5 linked regions of the Xenopus tropicalis genome follow. The protein of the gene in region 3 interacts with the protein of the main gene of each other region in a biochemical or structural test. Links are inferred from orthologs where the notes say so. Each region holds a gene or a part of one and is shown on either strand. Other genes may lie near its edges.

The links.
Region 1: of the proteins of ptges3 (region 3) and casp3.2, one has a biochemical effect on the other in vitro, tested with the Homo sapiens proteins (2 studies listed by BioGRID and IntAct). The link is inferred for Xenopus tropicalis from reciprocal best matches to the Homo sapiens genes PTGES3 and CASP3.
Region 2: the proteins of ptges3 (region 3) and hsf1 form a complex in vitro, tested with the Homo sapiens proteins (2 studies listed by BioGRID). The link is inferred for Xenopus tropicalis from reciprocal best matches to the Homo sapiens genes PTGES3 and HSF1.
Region 4: the proteins of ptges3 (region 3) and tert form a complex in vitro, tested with the Homo sapiens proteins (2 studies listed by BioGRID). The link is inferred for Xenopus tropicalis from reciprocal best matches to the Homo sapiens genes PTGES3 and TERT.
Region 5: of the proteins of ptges3 (region 3) and casp7, one has a biochemical effect on the other in vitro, tested with the Homo sapiens proteins (2 studies listed by BioGRID and IntAct). The link is inferred for Xenopus tropicalis from reciprocal best matches to the Homo sapiens genes PTGES3 and CASP7.

What each region holds. Positions count from the first base shown.
Region 1 is NC_030677.2:44,843,779-44,847,940, forward strand, and holds the start of casp3.2 (caspase-3), read left to right. Parts: upstream 1-1,360; 5' UTR 1,361-1,441; intron 1,442-2,933; 5' UTR 2,934-2,987; intron 2,988-4,162. UniProt on the Homo sapiens protein: Thiol protease that acts as a major effector caspase involved in the execution phase of apoptosis. Following cleavage and activation by initiator caspases (CASP8, CASP9 and/or CASP10), mediates execution of apoptosis by catalyzing cleavage of many proteins.
Region 2 is NC_030682.2:152,310,947-152,314,461, reverse strand, and holds part of hsf1 (heat shock factor protein 1), read left to right. Parts: intron 1-251; coding exon 252-360; intron 361-1,661; coding exon 1,662-1,810; intron 1,811-2,255; coding exon 2,256-2,380; intron 2,381-2,597; coding exon 2,598-2,673; intron 2,674-3,515. UniProt on the Homo sapiens protein: Functions as a stress-inducible and DNA-binding transcription factor that plays a central role in the transcriptional activation of the heat shock response (HSR), leading to the expression of a large class of molecular chaperones, heat shock proteins (HSPs), that protect cells from cellular insult damage.
Region 3 is NC_030678.2:138,777,674-138,781,188, reverse strand, and holds part of ptges3 (prostaglandin E synthase 3), read left to right. Parts: intron 1-834; coding exon 835-904; intron 905-2,517; coding exon 2,518-2,616; intron 2,617-3,515. UniProt on the Homo sapiens protein: Cytosolic prostaglandin synthase that catalyzes the oxidoreduction of prostaglandin endoperoxide H2 (PGH2) to prostaglandin E2 (PGE2).
Region 4 is NC_030682.2:58,825,101-58,829,077, reverse strand, and holds the start of tert (telomerase reverse transcriptase), read left to right. Parts: upstream 1-1,177; 5' UTR 1,178-1,322; coding exon 1,323-1,361; intron 1,362-3,977. Other genes in the region: clptm1l (cleft lip and palate transmembrane protein 1-like protein), read right to left, coding at 701-862. UniProt on the Homo sapiens protein: Telomerase is a ribonucleoprotein enzyme essential for the replication of chromosome termini in most eukaryotes. Active in progenitor and cancer cells. Inactive, or very low activity, in normal somatic cells.
Region 5 is NC_030683.2:3,670,171-3,674,144, reverse strand, and holds the start of casp7 (caspase-7), read right to left. Parts: upstream 2,806-3,974; 5' UTR 2,769-2,805; coding exon of another isoform or gene 2,766-2,768; intron 1-2,765. UniProt on the Homo sapiens protein: Thiol protease involved in different programmed cell death processes, such as apoptosis, pyroptosis or granzyme-mediated programmed cell death, by proteolytically cleaving target proteins.

The sequences.
Region 1 (4,162 bases), on a different chromosome or scaffold from region 3:
AGAACCCTTATTTTAATTAGTTGAAATAGCTCTACATAACCATTTCTTTTTTTACTTATTGTAACTTTCTGTCCCACTTTATTTAATCTGACAGCAATTTATCAGTTCTCATCGTTGGTCCCAGGCAGCGTGCCTGGACTTCTTGCCTACTTTATTGAGTACAAACTATCTTTTTTCCTGCCTAATTATATTCAAGTTATCCTGCTTGATGGTCACATTACAAATTTCTTGGGTCTTGTATTTCCTCTTCCAATGTAAAAGCACCCAGCTTTCAACCTTGTGCTTCTATATTGTAGTGGAACTCCCCAGTGACTTATAATAGCCTTATATTTTACAATAGGGGTACATTTTTCACTATATGAGCCTATACTGATAGGGAAATACTATAATTATGGTTCCATACAATACCTGATTGAGTAGTGCACCTATTCATTGTTTTTTACATTTAAGATATTGTTTTCTTCTATTAAAGGGGAGCTGTTGCTACTGTAATGAAATGTATTTTTTTTCTTTACAGTTGTGTAGATTCATGATTTATTGATGAATTTCTCAACCCATCATGTTTTTCCAGAAGTTCCAACTAATCCCATGGCCCCAAGGTGATATAAGGATCCAGTTCCACATATTTTACACCTCATTCCTTTTCAATAAAAATGTCAAATAAATAGAAATAAAATTTCTATTAAAAAAGCCCCAATACCATTCAAGTTTGTATTATTGAGAAAAAAAATCCACCCCCTGTGCCCATTGACAGGAGAATACTACAGAGTAGGATTTGCTTTCATACTTAACCTCCTCATTATAACTAATTATAACTAATGAATATAACTATAACGTGCAACATATACGTCACCCGACCTTTTCCTTCTCATATCTCCAAACAATGCGCACATCAGCTCCCGCTGCAATATACAAATTTCCCGCCCATTCCCAAACATATTATTACTCCGCCTCTACTGCTGCAAGGTAAAGGCTGGGAGCTATATCATGCAGAAACTGCATTCCCAGAGAATTCGTCTATCGTTTGTCTTCAGCCTCCAGTCACGAACTCCTAATAGCTGCACTAGTTCATTAACTATGTAAGAGCTGGAGACCCAGCAGGAATATCCCTGCCATGGAGATATAGAGGTAACTTCGCCAGCATTCCGCTTCTGATTGGCAGAATGGCGTTACGTCACCAGTTGCTCCGTTTAAGGCCCAGCCCATTGGTCGGAACGTTTCCGTATTGTTCGTTTACAGGTTCCCCTGAGATAGCTTGGGATAGGCGAGCGCTCGACCAATCAGGCTGTCTCTCTGGATTAAACCCCCCTCCCTTACTATTTTGTGTGAGGTCAGCGCTTGTGTTGTTGCTGTCTTGGAAAAACACGCCAGACACAAAAGCAGCAAGGAAGGAACGGAGCAGCCTGTACTGTACTCTCCGCTATAGCCGCCTTGTCTCTGGGTAAGTGTGCACAATCCTAGTGCGGTATTTTTATATACACACATACATAATGTATTTATATGCCCGCCGGGTAGGAAAACAAGTTATGTCGGATGTGCTGTAATGACAAGAGGCGCTACATTCTCTATGTACGTGGCATACACCTTTATAATGTGTTCTTTTCTGCTTTAAATATTCTTTGTACCAGACTTTTGAACACATTGGCACTGAGTACCCAGGCTAGTGTGTGCTAACTAGCTTTTATAAGTTCATTCTTATGTACAGGCAGCCTGTAGTTTCCTGTAAGGCACCTCTATCAGCTCCCGTTGTTCTAATTCGTGTAAGGTAAATTATTAAAAAAAAAACCAACTTCCTATGAGCATATATTTTCTGCAAGCACTTCCTTAAAATAGTAAATTGTTGTTTATTTCTTTCTGAAAGCAGCATGTAAAATTTGAAAATGTTTGATTTTGTGTTTCCATATCAGAATGTTTCCTGGTAGTTATTTTATTGTCTGTTTTTCCTGCCATACCACAGCAGTCCTGTCTTGCTTTATGGCAGGAATTATAGTTACATGCTTTGGTGCAGCTGTGCCCTTTGTCCATATGTGCACATTTCACTAGCATCTAGGCACGTGTTCTAATAAGTAATTATAAAATCATACACTCGTGTACATTTGTGTATGTTGGCCATGGTATGAAACACAAGTAGACCAGGGTGTTGAGTACAGGTGCTTTTTAACAGTCCATGGAACTTAGAGGAAACCATTTACTAATAAGTACAGAACATAGAATAGAATGTTTTTTTCGTGTTTTTGATACATGTATTATTCTGTCACTATGAGCACTGTACAAGCCTCGTGAAAAATCTGCACAGCCCACAAGGGACTTGTACATGTAATAATGTAACTCACTAATGGCTGGCATGGGGTACATTATTCCCTAAGTATCCTGAAGCACACATTTTTCATTTAGATCATAATCCTATAATACACTGTGGTAGAGGGACAGTCTACTTCTTGTACTAGGAAGGTAAAAGATATAGATTGAGTGCTATGTTTTCTGTCCTAATTTTTATTATCCAGTCAGTTTTATTGTATAAGATAAAGATATAATATATATAAAATAACTCCCTTCATATCTAGGTACAGTATATGATCTGTGTCCTCTCCACCACAGAGTGGGCATCTCAGCCCAGTGCCTGTATATTTCAATGTATAGTGTCCCTTTAAGAATGCAAGTTTGTTATTTCTGATATTGAAGTTACAAGTTTACACATGTACCTGTGCAAGGCAAACAAATTGTTGATAAAGTAGATAAGATTATTTTCACTGACCGTGACATGATTCATGTAATAAGTATCATCATTAGCTTGTGGAGGCTTGTGTGTTTGTGTATAAACATCAACATGTTTCATTTCTCTTTGAACCGCTGTGGCGAACCAAAACGCACCGATGTGGTGAATGATGTGAATCATCAATAAACCCTTCTTTTTTCTCCGTGTGTGCTTCCAGTTCGTGGAGATATTTGACTTGTTTGGGAAGCACCCAGAACTTATTTGGAGTGTGGTGAGTACCTGTATCTGTTCTAACTATGTATAACTTATATATAGTGTATTTAGTGTATTCCTATTATCCTTATATTTGACATCACTGAGCTCTATCTATCTAGCTATATCTCTGGTTATTACCACATGCCCTTTCCCTTGGGCAACTTGTTTTTCAACATTGGTAAACTTAACCCAGTCCAATGACCGATTTACATTTGGCAGCCTGGAGCTTTTATTAATCTAGCCTTAGTGAGCTTCTTCTTCAACTTCAAAGCTTTATTACAGGGGACATATAGGAGGAATATTTTATAAGTGGGAAGTCACTTGAAGTCAGTGATAAGTACTTTAAATGTAAAGCTTATATAAAATGTATATAAATACACACACACACTGAAACCGTCAGGATTTAGGAGATCAGAAGTGTTAAAAATTGGGCCTTTGCTCTGATATAAAGTACAGCTGCTAACATTCTCAGATGTTCATGTGAACTGTTGTTGCAAACAGCTGAAGAGTCACTAGTTTTGTCAGCACTGATCTAGGGATGTGGAGAAGGAATAAATGAGCTAAACATGAGGGCAGGAGCCTTGTAAGACTACTGAGGTGAAAGTGTAGGTAGCAGTCAGGGTGTTAGGCATAATAGTAGAAAACAAATGGGCATTTTACTGATGTTTATTTATATGTGTTATTTTAACATCCATGAAGGTGCTTCCCAGTAAGGGATTCATATAGATAGACCCCCCTTCCTTTGCTTCTCAGCATTTGTTGAGCAACCCTTTCCAATAATCATTTCATATATCATGTTATTGTAATTAGAGAGCTGCAGGTTATATCAGTCTGATGAATTATCTTGATAAAGTTTATATTAAAAACCAAGTAACAATTTTGCAAAAAAGCCAGTGGTGTGTGGACTGAGATCCTTGTACAGGTATGGGACCTGTTATCCAGAATGCTCTGGACCTGGGGTTTTCCGCATAAGGGATCTTTCCATAATTTGGATCTTCATACCTTAAGTCTGCTATATAATTAATCCAATAAGGATTAATTATATCTTAGTTGGGATTAAGTACAAGGTACTGTTTTATAATTACAAAGAAAAAGGAAATCATTTTTAAAACTTAGAGTTATTTGCATATAATTGAGTCTATGGGAGATGGTCTTTCTGTAATTCGGAACTTTCTGGATAATGGATTTCCG
Region 2 (3,515 bases), on a different chromosome or scaffold from region 3:
TGACTCTCTTACCGGCCTTGTTACTGACTCTCTTACCGGCCTTGTTACTGACTCTCTTACCGGCCTTGTTACTGACTCTCTTACCGGCCTTGTTACTGACTCTCTTACCGGCCTTGTTACTGACTCTCTTACCGGCCTTGTTACTGACTCGCTTACCGGCCTTGTTACTGACTCTCTAACCTGCCTTGGTATTGACTCTCTAACCTGCCTTGGTATTGACTCTCTAACCATTCCTCTCCTCTCTCCCCCAGGAAGGGAACAGTTTCCATGTGTTTGACCAGGGGCAGTTTGCCAAAGAGGTTCTCCCAAAGTATTTCAAGCACAACAACATGGCCAGCTTTGTCCGACAGCTCAACATGTGTAAGTCTCTCACATCAGCATGTCTCTCTGTCTCTCACATCAGCATGTGTAAGTCCCTCTCACATCAGCATGTGTAAGTCTCTCTCACATCATGTCTCTCTGTCTCTCACATCAACATGTGTAAGTCTCTCTCGCATCAGCATGTCTCTCACATCAGCATGTCTTTGTCTCTCACATCAACATGTGTTAGTCTCTCTCACATCAGCATGTCTCTCTGTCTCTCACATCAACATGTGTAAGTCTCTCTCACATCAGCATGTCTCTCTGTCTCTCACATCAACATGTGTAAGTCTCTCTCACATCAGCATGTCTCTCCGACTCACATCAACATGTGTAAGTCTCTCTCACATCAGCATGTCTCTCTGTCTCACATCAACATGTGTAAGTCTCTCTCACATCAGCATGTCTCTCCATCTCACATCAGCATGTCTCTCTGTCTCTCACATCAACATGTGTAAGTCTCTCTTACATCAGGATGTGTAAGTCTCTCTCCCCTCCCCGCCCCATCGCTCTGTTACATATTGAGCAGCCATTGTTACTGTCTCTTCCCCCAGTAGGATGAGGATTTTCCTCTCTTTTTCTATGGGAGTGAAGTCTGGGATGTGATGGGGGCTGTCTCTGTGGCCTTTCCAGGTATGGGGCTGTCTGGATTCCCTCTGCACTGATTGGTAGCTGGTGCTGAAGCTCTTGGGCCCAGGATATTCCTCCCACTATGTATTTGTTATTTATCTATGTACGAGCTGGATTCTGATACCCATAGGATGTTCTGCTCTCTCTCAGAGTAGTAGTAGTTACCCATAGGATATTCTGCTCTCTCAGAGTAGTAGTAGTTACCCATAGGATATTCTGCTCTCTCACAGAGAAGTAGTTGTTATCCGTAGGATGTTCTGCTCTCTCTGAGTAGTAGTAGTTACCCATAGGATGTTCTGCTCTCTCTCTGAGTAGTAGTAGTTACCCATAGGATGTTCTGCTCTCTCTCTGAGTAGTAGTAGTTACCCGTAGGATGTTCTGCTCTCTCTGAGTAGTAGTAGTTACCCGTAGGATGTTCTGCTCTCTCTGAGTAGTAGTAGTTACCCATAGGATGTTCTGCTCTCTCTCTGAGTAGTAGTAGTTACCCATAGGATGTTCTGCTCTCTCTGAGTAGTAGTAGTTACCCATAGGATGTTCTGCTCTCTCTCTGAGTAGTAGTTGTTACCCATAGGATGTTCTGCTCTCTCTCTGAGTAGTAGTTGTTACCCATAGGATGTTCTGCTCTCTCTGAGTAGTAGTTGTTACCCATAGGATGTTCTGCTCTCTCTCAGATGGGTTTCGGAAGGTCGTCCATATTGAACAGGGGGGCTTGGTCAAACCTGAAAGAGATGACACAGAGTTCCAGCACCCCTATTTCATCCGGGGTCAGGAGCAACTTCTGGAGAACATCAAGCGCAAAGTCAACACCGTGAGTACCAAGGCAAGTGAGTGAGGGGCGAATACCCCTACCCCCCTACCCCTGCCCCCCTGGGTACAGTTCAGTAATACAGTACTCATGGGGCAGTGGAGTAATCGGGTTACTAGGAAATACTCAGAGTACTAGAAATAGTAATGCTCTCAGCAGCAGAGTAACAGGCAGCTGTGTTGGTACTTTTGAGGGTACAGTAATACCCGTGGGTATATGGGTAACTTTGGGTGCAGAGTAATAGTTTCAGTGCTGCTGGAAGTATCGATACTCAGTAGAATTGGGGAGTAACGGTGTTTCCTTCAGAAATCAAAGAGTTAGTGCAACTGCCGGTGCTGTTACTACTGGGAGTAAGGTAAGAGGAGAGGCACGGGGGGGGTAATGTTGGGAGTGGGGGGTAAGGAAGGTGTGAGAGTGCCCGGCTGTGACCCCCGAGACCTCTCTCTCTCTCCCTAAGCAGCTGTCTGCCACCAAGAGCGAGGAGGTGAAGGGGCGTCAGGACAGTGTCAGCAAATTGCTAACGGACGTACAGAGCATGAAAGGCAAACAGGAGACCATCGACTGCCGCCTCCTCTCCATGAAACAGTGAGTTTGCCCGGGGGGCAAATGGGGCACTAACGGGCCACCCAGGGGCAGGTACCGTGGATTCCTTCCTTTAGTAATCAACTGTCACTCAGGGCTGCTGTCTCTGAGGGAGTGTGGGTGTACATCTATCTGAGGGAGGGGCCTGGGGGTGAGGGTGTGGCCTGGGAGTGAGGGCGGGCTAATCATCATGCTTTTTAACACTGTGCCTGCCCTGCAGTGAGAATGAGGCCCTGTGGAGGGAGGTAGCGAGCCTGCGGCAGAAGCACAATCAGCAGCAGAAAGTTGTCAATAAGGTAAGTCAGCACCGGAGCCTATGGTGTCACAGTAACCATAATAAATTATATATATATATATACAGACCACGATGGTTCAGCACTCCTTAGCAAATCCAGCTAACCCAGGTGCTACCGATTTAAGCAATTTCAACAGAGTCCATAGATGTACCGATGCACACTGGGAATCCTTTAAATATCGACTTTTATTTAGAAAATTAAAAGACTTAGTACATGGCAAAACAGGGAGATGGGAGGAGACTATTGTGGGACAAACTGGTGCTGCAGGGAGGTGGGAGGAGACTATTGTGGGACAAACTGGTGCAGCAGGGAGGTGGGAGGAGACTATTGTGGGACAAACTGGCGCTGCAGGGAGGTGGGAGGAGACTATTGTGGGACAGACTGGCGCTGCAGGGAGATGGGAGGAGACTATTGTGGGACAAACTGGTGCTGCAGGGAGGTGGGAGGAGACTATTGTGAGACAGACTGGTGCTGCAGGGAGATGGGAGGAGACTATTGTGGGACAAACTGGTGCTGCAGGGAGGTGGGAGGAGACTATTGTGGGACAAACTGGTGCTGCAGGGAGATGGGAGGAGACTATTGTGGGACAAACTGGTGCTGCAGGGAGGTGGGAGGAGACTATTGTGGGACAAACTGGCGCTGCAGGGAGGTGGGAGGAGACTATTGTGGGACAGACTGGTGCTGCAGGGAGGTGGGAGGAGACTATTGTGGGACAAACTGGTGCTGCAGGGAGGTGGGAGGAGACTATTGTGGGACAAACTGGCGCTGCAGGGAGGTGGGAGGAGACTATTGTGGGACAGACTGGTGCTGCAGGGAGGTGGGAGGAGACTATTGTGGGACAA
Region 3 (3,515 bases):
ACAAAATCACTTACACTATCAAAAAGGATACACAGTCTAACACTGCCAAAGGTAAGAGAACAATAAATGTGGAAAATTGCAAAAGTGCTTAGAGGAACATATGTAAATGCACAAGAGCCATTAATATCTTGTAAATTATATCCTTTTAAATGGTGCTTAGCGATTGTCATTGTCGATTTGTAAAGCATATGTAAGATGTAGGGGATTATTTGCTGTAGGCTAAGTGAGAATTTTTGTCCCCCCAAGAATTTTCTTGTTTTCTCTTTATTTATGATGTATTACCTGAATTTCTCTATCCCATAAACTTACCAGTTCTGAGGTGGCAATATCTAAGTTATATCCTATGTGCAAAATTTTGTAGTTTTCAAAGTTCCGTTTTTATGGTGTTTAAATGTTTTTTCAATCATCTTTTGCACTTTTCCATGATTGAGATGATTGCCACAAACAATGTTTTACTTGCAGCTACCTTAGGGGTAAGCACTTTCAGGAAACCTCTCGCCCACAGTATTGCAGACTTACTACAGGCGACAAATCTCCCTGTGCATCAGTACCCTAAGATGTTTTAAGGATGACTGCTACTCCAGATTCCAATTAATATACACTGGGCTAAAAGGGACCACCTTTTATATCTTTTAATGTGTTTTGCAGTACATTTTGGGATTAAACTCCGTACCTTCAGTATCCTGTGATAAATGTTTTTTTTTTGTTTGTTACACTAAATATTTTTTCAATTTTGTGATTTTAAACATCTGTTTCTAGGTTACTGGTCATGGAATAGATGTTGGCTTTGCTGATTTAAACTAAGTTTTGTTTTTTTTAATTTCCTTTTTACAGTTGTCTTGGAGGAGCAGATAATGTAAAATATTTAAATGAAGTTGAACTTTTCCAGTCTATTGATCCCAACGTAAGTTAACATACTGGGTTTTTTTTTTCTTAAAAGCATGCGTTAATCAGTTCTAGGATCATTTTCTTGGTCTTTATATATAGTGTTTTAAATGTACTATTTTTGTTCTGCAATTATCTTGAGACTTAAAAGGTTCATAAGTAGATTAAAAATATTATAAATGATACAGGTAAGAAATCAAAACCTGTTATTTGAAAGACTGACAGTCAAACTATACGCCCTTTTCATCTGCTGAACGTACTTTGTGCCTTTTTGTTTTCTGTTATTTCTGTTACTAAACAGGAATATGCCAATTTCCACTTTAGTACTTCATGTCACTTTGGTCACAAAAAACTTACTATTACTAAGATTACTTAGATTACTAATATTATAAATATTAAAATTTAGATGTGGAAAGACTGCCATCGTTTATCCCTGTCTCAAACATTCAGAGTTATAGATCTGGTAAAATTCTGGTCTCATGAGTAATCTACATTCCATTTGCCAATTTTTGAAAGTTAAATCGCCGGTGGGATGGCATACACGGCACGATTTCAGTGAAATCGCGGAAGTTGCCTTGAGAGGAAACTTCCACGATATCACTGAAATCGCGCCGCCGCGTATGCGATTTTCATTTTTGCCGGTGGGATGGCTTTTCGGGGAGATTGGTCGCCCGCAAACAGGGAGATTTTTCGCGGGCGACTAATCTCCCCGTGTGCCAGAGCCCTTAGTGTGTGTAAAAGTCTACTCTAAGCAGAAGAGCATGCAGGTGGGCTGTAAGAATTATGGATTCTTGCCATTCCTCTGATCATTTTTCACCTAGTTTGCAGAGAAGAACCTACAACAATAATTTAAATATTGAATAAACCCAATAGTCTTGCTTTGCCTCCAATAAGGATTAATTATATCTTAGATAGGATCAAGTACAAGGTACTGTTTTATAATTACAGAGAAAACGGAAATCATTTTTAAAAATTAGAGTTATTTGCTTATATTGGAGACTATGGGACTTGGCCTTTCCATAATTCAGAACTTTCTGGATAGCGGGTTTCCAGATAAGGGATCCCATACCTGTATACTTTATATTTTTAAATTACACTGTTTACATAGCAAATAATTCACTCTACCAATTAAAATTTTATTCTTAAGCCAACAAATGTATTTTTTTAGCTGTAATATTGGTGTGTAGGTGCCATCTCAGTGCATTGTGCCTGAGTCTGAGCTTTCAGAAGAAGCCAGCGCTACACATTAGAACTGCTTTCAGGTAACCTATTGTTTCTCCTACTCCCATGTCACTGGAGGAGTCCCAAGCCAGACTTGAATTTCTTACTATTGAGTGCTATTCTGATGTCTACTGGGAGCTGCTATCTTGCTACCTTCCCATTGTGACTGAAGTTTATTAGAGCACAGGTCACGTGGCTGTGGCACCCTGGGAAATGAAAAATATGGCTAGCCCATGTGAAATTTCAAAATTAAATTTAAAAAATCTGCTTGCAATTTTATAAAGGTCAGTGCAGGTTATTATGGTGGAGAAGTTCTATTTACTGATGTGTTTTGGAAAAAAACACTTTTTGCCATGACCGTATTCCTTTAAATTGACAAGTCTTTATTTGTTTTTTTTGGATTTTTTTTAGGAGTCCAAACATAAAAGAACAGACCGATCTGTTTTATGTTGTTTACGAAAAGGGGAGTCTGGACAATCGTGGCCACGGATTACAAAAGAAAAGGCAAAGGTATGTTATTTTATTTAATAACTTTAGCTGTAGTGGTTTTGATGGAAAAAGAGTCTGTGAAGGTTAATATTACCTTTATGTAAATTGCACTGGCATTTTGCAGACCTTTCAGAACATTTCCTTACAATTCCATACCTCGGACACAGCACTAGGGTCAGTTTTGTTACATGCCAAGTAACCTACCAGTGTATTAAAGGAACAGTAACACCAAAAAATGAAAGTGTATAAAAGTAATTACAATATAATGTACTGCTGTCCTGCATTTCTATAACTGGTGTGTTTGCCTCAGAAAGACTACTATAGTTTATATAAGTAAGCTGCTGTGTAGCCATGGGGGCAGCCATTCAAAGGAGAAAAGGCACAGGTTACTTAGCAGATAACAGATAAATCCTCACTATAAGCGGCTTATCTACTAGTTTTTCTGCTATGTATCATGTGCCTTTTCTCCTTTTTTCCAGCTTGAATGGCTGCCCCCATGGCAATACAGCAGCTTATTTATATAGTAGCTTTTCTGTAGCAAAAACACCAGTTTTTTTGCAGAGCAGCAGCACATTATAATTTAATTACTTTAAAACACTTTATTTTTTTGATGCTACTGTTCCTTTAAAGGTTGTGGGTGTAAACTGAGGCTAATGGCACAGATGAAGTGTTTTGTCTGTTAACATCTGGTAGAAAAAAAGAGGCCTTCAGACTGTTTTGCTTCTGGCACCCTTTAGAGGAAATGTTAGGTCTTCTCCCCCCTTTAGCTCATAACTAGTTACTGATTTATGAAAACATTATTAATATTAACACCTATGTAAAGCAGCGACTTACCTTTTAGGAATTTTTTTTTGTTCTTCAACTCGAATATTATAAAAAAAAATGTAATTATTGAAAAAAAAACCTTATAGTAGAAAGCA
Region 4 (3,977 bases), on a different chromosome or scaffold from region 3:
CGCTGCACAATAAGTGGGTTTCATACATTGGACATCCAGAGTAACATATAAAGCAATCAATAACCGATACAAGAGGTGAAGAGAGCCCTGCCCAAAAGAGCTTACAATCTACAAGGAGAAAGGGTTGAGACACAAGGTGTGGGAATGGGCATGACCAGAGTTGTGAGAGGTGTGGCACAGGGTATTGCTAAACTAGATTAGGGTACGCTTCTCTAAATAAATGTGTTTTTAGAGATCTCTTGAAGGCAGAGAGATTGGGAGAAAGTCTGACAGTTTGTGGGAGTGAATTCCAGAGAAGGGGGGCAGCCCTTGCAAAGTCTTGAATACGAGTGTGTGAGGAGGGAATTATTGCTTATTGGATTTACTGTGTTGAACTTTCTCCCAATAAGGCACACAATTTAGACTGATAATCATCTTGAAGGAAACATGTGCATGCAAAATTAACACATTTGCTAACAGCTGTCTTGTTAATCATGTTGTATACCAGAAAGTCAGACTCTCCGATGATCAATGCAGAGAATTTGAAAAATAAAAATTACTATGCATGCTAAGCTAATAGCAATATTTAAGAATATCAAAAATAATTAGATAACAATAAGAAACCTTTAGGTTTCAGCGGATAATTCATACCCAATGTCTAGCTTTACACAACTTTTCATTCACAATATAAGCTCAAATGCAAGTTGTATCTATTACTGACCTGTAGTTTGGGCCTTTTTGAAAGGTATGGCTTGATGCAGTTGTCACTGTGACTTTCACAAGGCTTTGTGTAAACAATACCATACATCACCCAGCATGTATGCACCACATATACGATAAAAACACCCACCACCAGGGTGGTGAAAGAGCTCCTGTTCAGCATTGCACAGACAGTACAGTACTACAGCAACGCAAATAGATATCCAGGTGTACAGAAAAACAAACCCTGCATAAAAGTAAGAACAAAACAATGGTATGATTTGATCATATTAACACCAATATCAAAATCGGTCGCTTCTTTCTATGTAATATTGCCACTATCCGGCCCTTTCCGCCGCCGTCAGTCACTTCCGGAACCTTCAGTCCAAACTTCCTGGTTTCGTGACGCTAATTCCGAAAGTGACGTCACCGGCCAGCAGCGAGTTACGCGCTAGCAGCGTTCTGCTACAGTTTCCCCTCTGCCAATGAACAGGTTGGTCGCGTCGTTTGGTGCCGCAGCATCTAGTCTGTTCAACTCGCGGTTGGAAGAGATCGGAGCAGCAGCGTTCTTTTGCTCGTCGCATCTTATTTACTTGCCCCGCCCCCCGCTGTTTAGCTGAGGTCTGATATTGTCTAACACTGATATGGGACTGATCTATCAATGCGCGCAGCGGGGGCCACAGGTCTGGGGGTCTACTCTTCCTTTTGGGGGATCCACTAGTGTGGGACTGTCATGGGCATTTATTTGATCAATGCGTGCATCATGGGTTGCAAGTCTGGGCTATTCTATTAGTATTTTAGCAGTGCCTAGTCTTCCGGTTCCTCTTAGCATTACAATAAATTAAGAGCATCACAGTTTATCTTAGTAAAACTGTAGCTATGGACACGACAACTGCAGAATTTCTAATATTGGTTTATAAATGTTTTATCACTTTTATTACTACAATAAGGGGTATATTTATCATGCTGTGTAAAAAGTGGTGATGTTGCTGATAGCAGTCAATCAGATGCTTTGCTTTGATTTTCTAACTGTTGAAATCTAATTGCTGATTGGTTGCCCTGGGCAACATCACTGGTAATGCTTCACTCCACTTTTTACACAGCATGATAAATATACTCCTAAGACTTTTTAAGCCACAACTGCAACAGGTCCGCTTTAGGAAAAGCCGAGTATGTTCATTTCTCGAAGTGAAATCCCAAGTACATGTACACTATTTCAGAACATATCGTTTTAGCTGGCTATTTGAACGTAATATATATTGTTCAGCTTCTACTAGTTAATTGCATGACTCTCCCAGCTAAATGTACAATGTGATAGCCTGGAAGCCAGCTAATCTAACTGGGAAGTTACACCACCTGTAATTTGTGTAATGTGACATGCACACACTTATCCTCTATATATATATATATATATATATATATATATATATATATATATATTTAATCCAAAGAAAGGCTGTATTGTTACCTTCACTAGTGCTTTGCAAATGGGCTCCAATAGTTCCTCAGACCAATCTGGTGACTTGTAAATAGCATTTGATTTTAATCAAGTTTCATAGTTGGTTTTACTTTTGTCTGATGTTATATGAATGCTCAGTGTGGGCTTAAGGGCTCTGGCACACGAGGAGATTTGTCGCCTGCGTTTTTTCCCCCTGGAGCTTTGGCGACAAGTCGCCACGACAATACCCACAAAGAGATTTCATGCGAGTTGAGCTCCAGGCGATTTGCTACCCATGGTACACTCAACAGTTAACCCCCCCTCATGTTTACTCAAGTCGCTCAGAGCCTTAGGGCTCTGGCACACAAGGAGATTTGTCGCCGGCGATTTTTAAAAGAGCGATTTGGCGACAAGAAATAAATCAATGGAAATCGCCAGCGTCAAAACATACAAGGTTACTTCAAATCACCTGCTGTTTCAAATCGCACACAGACCCTTTTCTGAGCGACTTGAGTAAACATGAGGGGGGGTTAACTGTTGAGTGTACCATGGGTAGCAGATCGCCTGGAGCTCAACTCGCATGAAATCTCTTCGTGGGTCCAGGAGGAAAAAACGCAGGCGACAAATCTCCTCGTGTGCCAGAGCCCTAAAGAGCAGAACACCAACACACAAATTGAGGCTTAAGCTTTACAATATATTAAAGATATATGCAACACAGTACATATAGAATAAGCAAATGTATACAGAGCCAAGAAGGATTTGTCCAAAATAGAAGCTGCAGGTATATAGTAGCAGTGCTATGGTGTCAGGTCACATTAAGCCCCATAAGATCTGTTTGTGCAGAAAAGCATTTTGGGTACAAAATCGCACCATGACACTGTATAGGGTATTCTCATCAGGAATATGTTCAGTTTGCAGACTAGTGTTCTTGTTCTTAACAATGCCCTAATAAAGATGCGATTTTACATTTCTTATACACATTAATGAGTTAAGTTTGTTGGAAGGGGGGGTGTTTATCTTGTATATTTCTATTTACTTTTCTGTTATGCAGTGCTGCAGAATATGTTGGCACTTTATAAATACATTATGTATTTATATACATTACTGTATATAAATTGGTATTTTGGTGGTTGTCGTCTGCCTTATAAGTAAGAGGGGCAAGGAGATGACCCCTAGTTAGAAAGTGCTCTTTAGGATGCCTGATTTTCACACTGGGTAGGTGAAATGACTGCATTCTAACAGACCCATGAGTATTGTTTATAAACATGGTAGACTGCATGTTCCCTGCCTTGGAGTTGCAAATGTTTCAGCACATAATAATTCTATTAGTATTCATAATTTGAAAATCACATAATAAAAAAAAATATGGTATTTAATATCTAGAAGCCACCCTCTGGTTTATTTGCAAACCAAGGGCAGGCTTACATGCTAAGTTACATTGCCCAATGAATTGGCAGAGCTGTATCTTTTACTCCCACACATCTTCCTGTTGTAGCTGGAATCTTCATTTTTTTAGATGTCAGGTGATCAGTGAGGGAGCACTAATGTGTAAATGCTAAGATTCTTTAGTGGGTCACTGATTGACATCTATTAGTTACGCACTTGTTCAGAGTGTGGTTCCAAACTTAAGGATGGATTGTGCACATGCAGTCTATGTAACATCAGTGCATGCTGCATATTTGATAGCTGCATTCTTTATAAGACTTTTCTTAATTTCACATTAATCTGGGAGGAGAGACCAGAACTAAGTGAGACAGGATCAGAGAATTAAAAATGATAAAAATAAGTAATTAAAGACAAAGGGGTCGAGAAGCACACATACAGGGAAGGAAGTAGCTGACTGAGGGGAATTTTCCATCAG
Region 5 (3,974 bases), on a different chromosome or scaffold from region 3:
CAAAGCCTCACAAGGGCTGCACTTTGCCCCCGGCCCCCCAGCACCAATGAATCTGCAGATCTCTGTTTCCCAGCAGTAAGAACAGGGCCGGCCTGCACCCTATCTGCCCCACCAGCTCTATCTGCCCCCACCGGCACCTCTATCTGCCCCCACCGGCAGCGCTATCTGCCCCCACCGGCAGCGCTATCTGCCCCCACCGGCAGCGCTATCTGCCCCCACCGGCAGTGCCCTTCCCACTGCCCTGGGAATTAGTGAATAACCCCATAAATCTCCATTTGAACATATCATCTAGTTTAGGGGGTTACTGCCCCTACAGGGATTACTTGGGGGCACTTAAGCTTCCAGTCCTCCAGGTAGATATGAGCCCTTATAAAATGCCCCTGGCCAATCAGCACGCTGCCTTGATATGGGAGGAGGTAGAGCAGTTTGCAGCAGGAATCATTATAAAAACAAGTGCAGAGAGCAATTTGGACCCAAATTAGATGTTTTCACCCCACACTGCAGCCCCCAGCGCCAGAGGGGCACTTGCGCCCCCATTCATCAGCAGAGGCAGGGGGGGGGGCCCACGGGGGAGTGAGGGAACGTTTGTAAATGACCCCTTGAGTTTCACCAATTTTAGGCGCATGAAATGTTATAATGACTTATACAGAGTGCAGGGCCCATCCCTATAAATACAATACAGGGCAGGCAGTGCCATGGGGCCCAAGGTGCCCACACATGGGGCAGATTCCAGTTGCCAATTTGGGTCCTTCAGACTGATTGGGCACCTGATCTGCCGCTGTATGGGCACAGGCCTCCCCGACCAACATCTGGCCAAATCTCAATTGGGCAAATCCACTTGTTTGGTGATCTCGTTAAAGAAAGAAGCCAGGAAGTGATTGGCTCATACAGGGGGAAGTGACTTGAAACAAAGAGATGAGTGTGTCACACACACGGGGGGGGGGGCAAACACAAGCACACAGGGGGGGACACAACAGACACACACACACGGGGGGGACACATACAGACACAACACGCACACACGGGGGGGAACACCAGACACACACACACAGACGGGGGGGACGGAGCAGAAGCACACACCACCACAAGGGGGGGGACACAGACAACACCACACAACACGGGGGGGGGGGGCACACAGACAACACACACACGGGGGGGGGGACACACACAGACACACAGACGGGGGAACACACAACACACACATTACACACGGGGGGGACGAACAGAAACACACTGTCCACACGGGGGGGGGACACAGAACACACACACGACGGGGGGGGACACAGACACAACACACAGGACGGGGGGGACACAGACACACCACATACAGACGGGGGGGACAGCAGACACACACACACACGGGGGGGGACAGGACAGACACACACACACAGCGGGGGGGACACAGACACACACACACACAGGGGGGGACACACAGACACACACACACACAGACGGGGGGGGACACAGACACACACACACATACCAGGGGGGGTCACACACGGGGACACACACAGGGGGGGGTCACACACCAGGGGACCACACAGGGGGGGGGGGGCAACACACACACGGGGGGGTCACACCACACAGGGGGGGTCACACACACAGGGGGGGTCACACACAGGGGACACACACAGGGGGGGGTCACACACACACAGGGGGGGGGTCACACACACAGGGGGGGTCACACACACACACACACACAGGGGACACACTAACAAGTAGTTGTATGGAACAGACTGTGGGTGCAGGGAAGCTACGTCAGGGGCACAAGAGCGGGAAAGTTCCATTTACTTTTACTTTCATTTCTCAGCCCCAGCACTCCCAGCGCTCCCAGCCCACCCAGTGCTCCCAGTGCAGGATAAAAGTACCCACAGTGTCGCTGTCACATTGTAACAAACAGGAGAAATACGGCCCCCGTCTGTGTCACTCAATAGGGGGGCTGCTGAGCAACTGACACTTAGCCTGTAGTGGCAAGTAACCCGGGGACCCCCAGCAATTATACAGTAACCCCCCCACAATGGTACAGTAACCCTCCCACAATGGTACAGTAACCCTCCCACAATGGTACAGTAACCCACACTAACCCCCAGCAATAGCTACAAAACCCCCCCAGTAGTGATACAATAACCCCCAGTAGTGATACAATAACCCCCAGCAGTGATACAATAACCCCCAGCAGTGATACAATAACCCCCAGCAGTGATACAATAACTCCCAGCAGTGATACAATAACTCCCAGCAGTGATACAATAACCCCCAGTAGTGAATTACAATAGCACCAGTGAGTGGATACAATAACCCCCAGCAGTGATACAATAACCCCCAGTAGTGATACAATAACCCCCAGTAGTGATACAATAACCCCCAGCAGTGATACAATAACTCCCAGCAGTGATACAATAACCCCCAGTAGTGATACAATAACCCCCAGTAGTGATACAATAACCCCCAGTAGTGATACAATAACCCCCAGTAGTGATACAATAACTCCCAGCAGTGATATACCCCAGCAGTGATACAAAACCCCAGCAGTGATAACATACATAACCCCCAGCAGTGATACAATAACTCCCAGCAGTGATACAATAACCCCCAGTAGTGATACAATAACTCCCAGCAGTGATACAATAACCCCCAGTAGTGATACAATAACCACCAGCAATAGCACAAACCCCCCCAGTAGTGACACCGTAACCCCCCTGCAATGGTACAATGTATCCAGTTACCCCTGCAAGTTGCCCCCATTAGAACGGTTATAGAGTTACCATTTGCTGAATCTGATTGTTTTCTGCCCCCAAACTGCCGCCTGTGGGGCCCCTGCCGTGCCGCTCGCTCCCCTCCCCTTTAAGGAAATAGGGAAATGCTCAGACCTCCCCCCCCCCCAGGCTGTGGGATTTAACCAGCTTTATTGTTAACCACTGGGTGTAACAAACCCTCAACTAGTAGTGAAACAGAGTCACTATATCTCTCTTACTCTCTCTCACTATCTCTCTTACTCCCAGGAGCAAATATATATATATATCTACGTTACATACATACCCCTACAGGGAGAGAGACCCCCAAACAAATATTAATTGGTTTAATTCATATAAAGGACAGGTATATTATACTATATATACACGTAATAGGAGATATTATCTATTTATACACATTACCAACCATGTCCTGATGTTTAAAAACTATTTGGAACTTGTTGTATACATTGTGTGTATATAAATAAAGGATAATGTACCCCCTACTGTAAATGATAAGGATATTAGCAGTCACTGAGGGGTTCTGTGCCCCCCATATAAAGGCACAAGGCTGCAGGCTGAGTTATACAGGGAACTCTGAGTATCACTCATGTATTATAAGGGATAATGTACCCCCTACTGTAAATGATAAGGATATTAGCAGTCACTGAGGGGTTCTGTCCCCCCATATAAAGGCAAGGCTGCCCGGCTGAGTTATACAGGGAACTCTGAGTATCACTCATGTATTATAAGGGATAATGTACCCCCTACTGTAAATGATAAGGATATTAGCAGTCACTGAGGGGTTCTGTGCCCATATAAAGGCACAAGGCTGTAGGCTGAGTTACTATTGCACACAGGGATTCCCCTGTACTAAGCACAATTCAGCAGGAACAGCCCCCTAAGTTTGCTCATAGCCTGTACAGAGAAATACCATAAAACTATGGCACATAGGGATTCCCTGTACTAAGCACAATTCAGCAGGAACAGCCCCTTAAGTTTGCCCATAGCCTGTACAGAGAGATACCATAAAACTATGGCACCTAGGGATTCCCCTGTACTAAAGCACAATTCAGCAAGAACAGCCCCCTAAGTTTGCTCATAGCCTGTACAGAGGAAATACCATAAAACTATGGCACATGGGGATTCCCCTGTACTAAGCACAATTCAGCAGGAACAGCCCCCTAAGTTTGCCCATAGCCTGTACAGAGAGATACCATAAAACTATGGCACATAGGGATT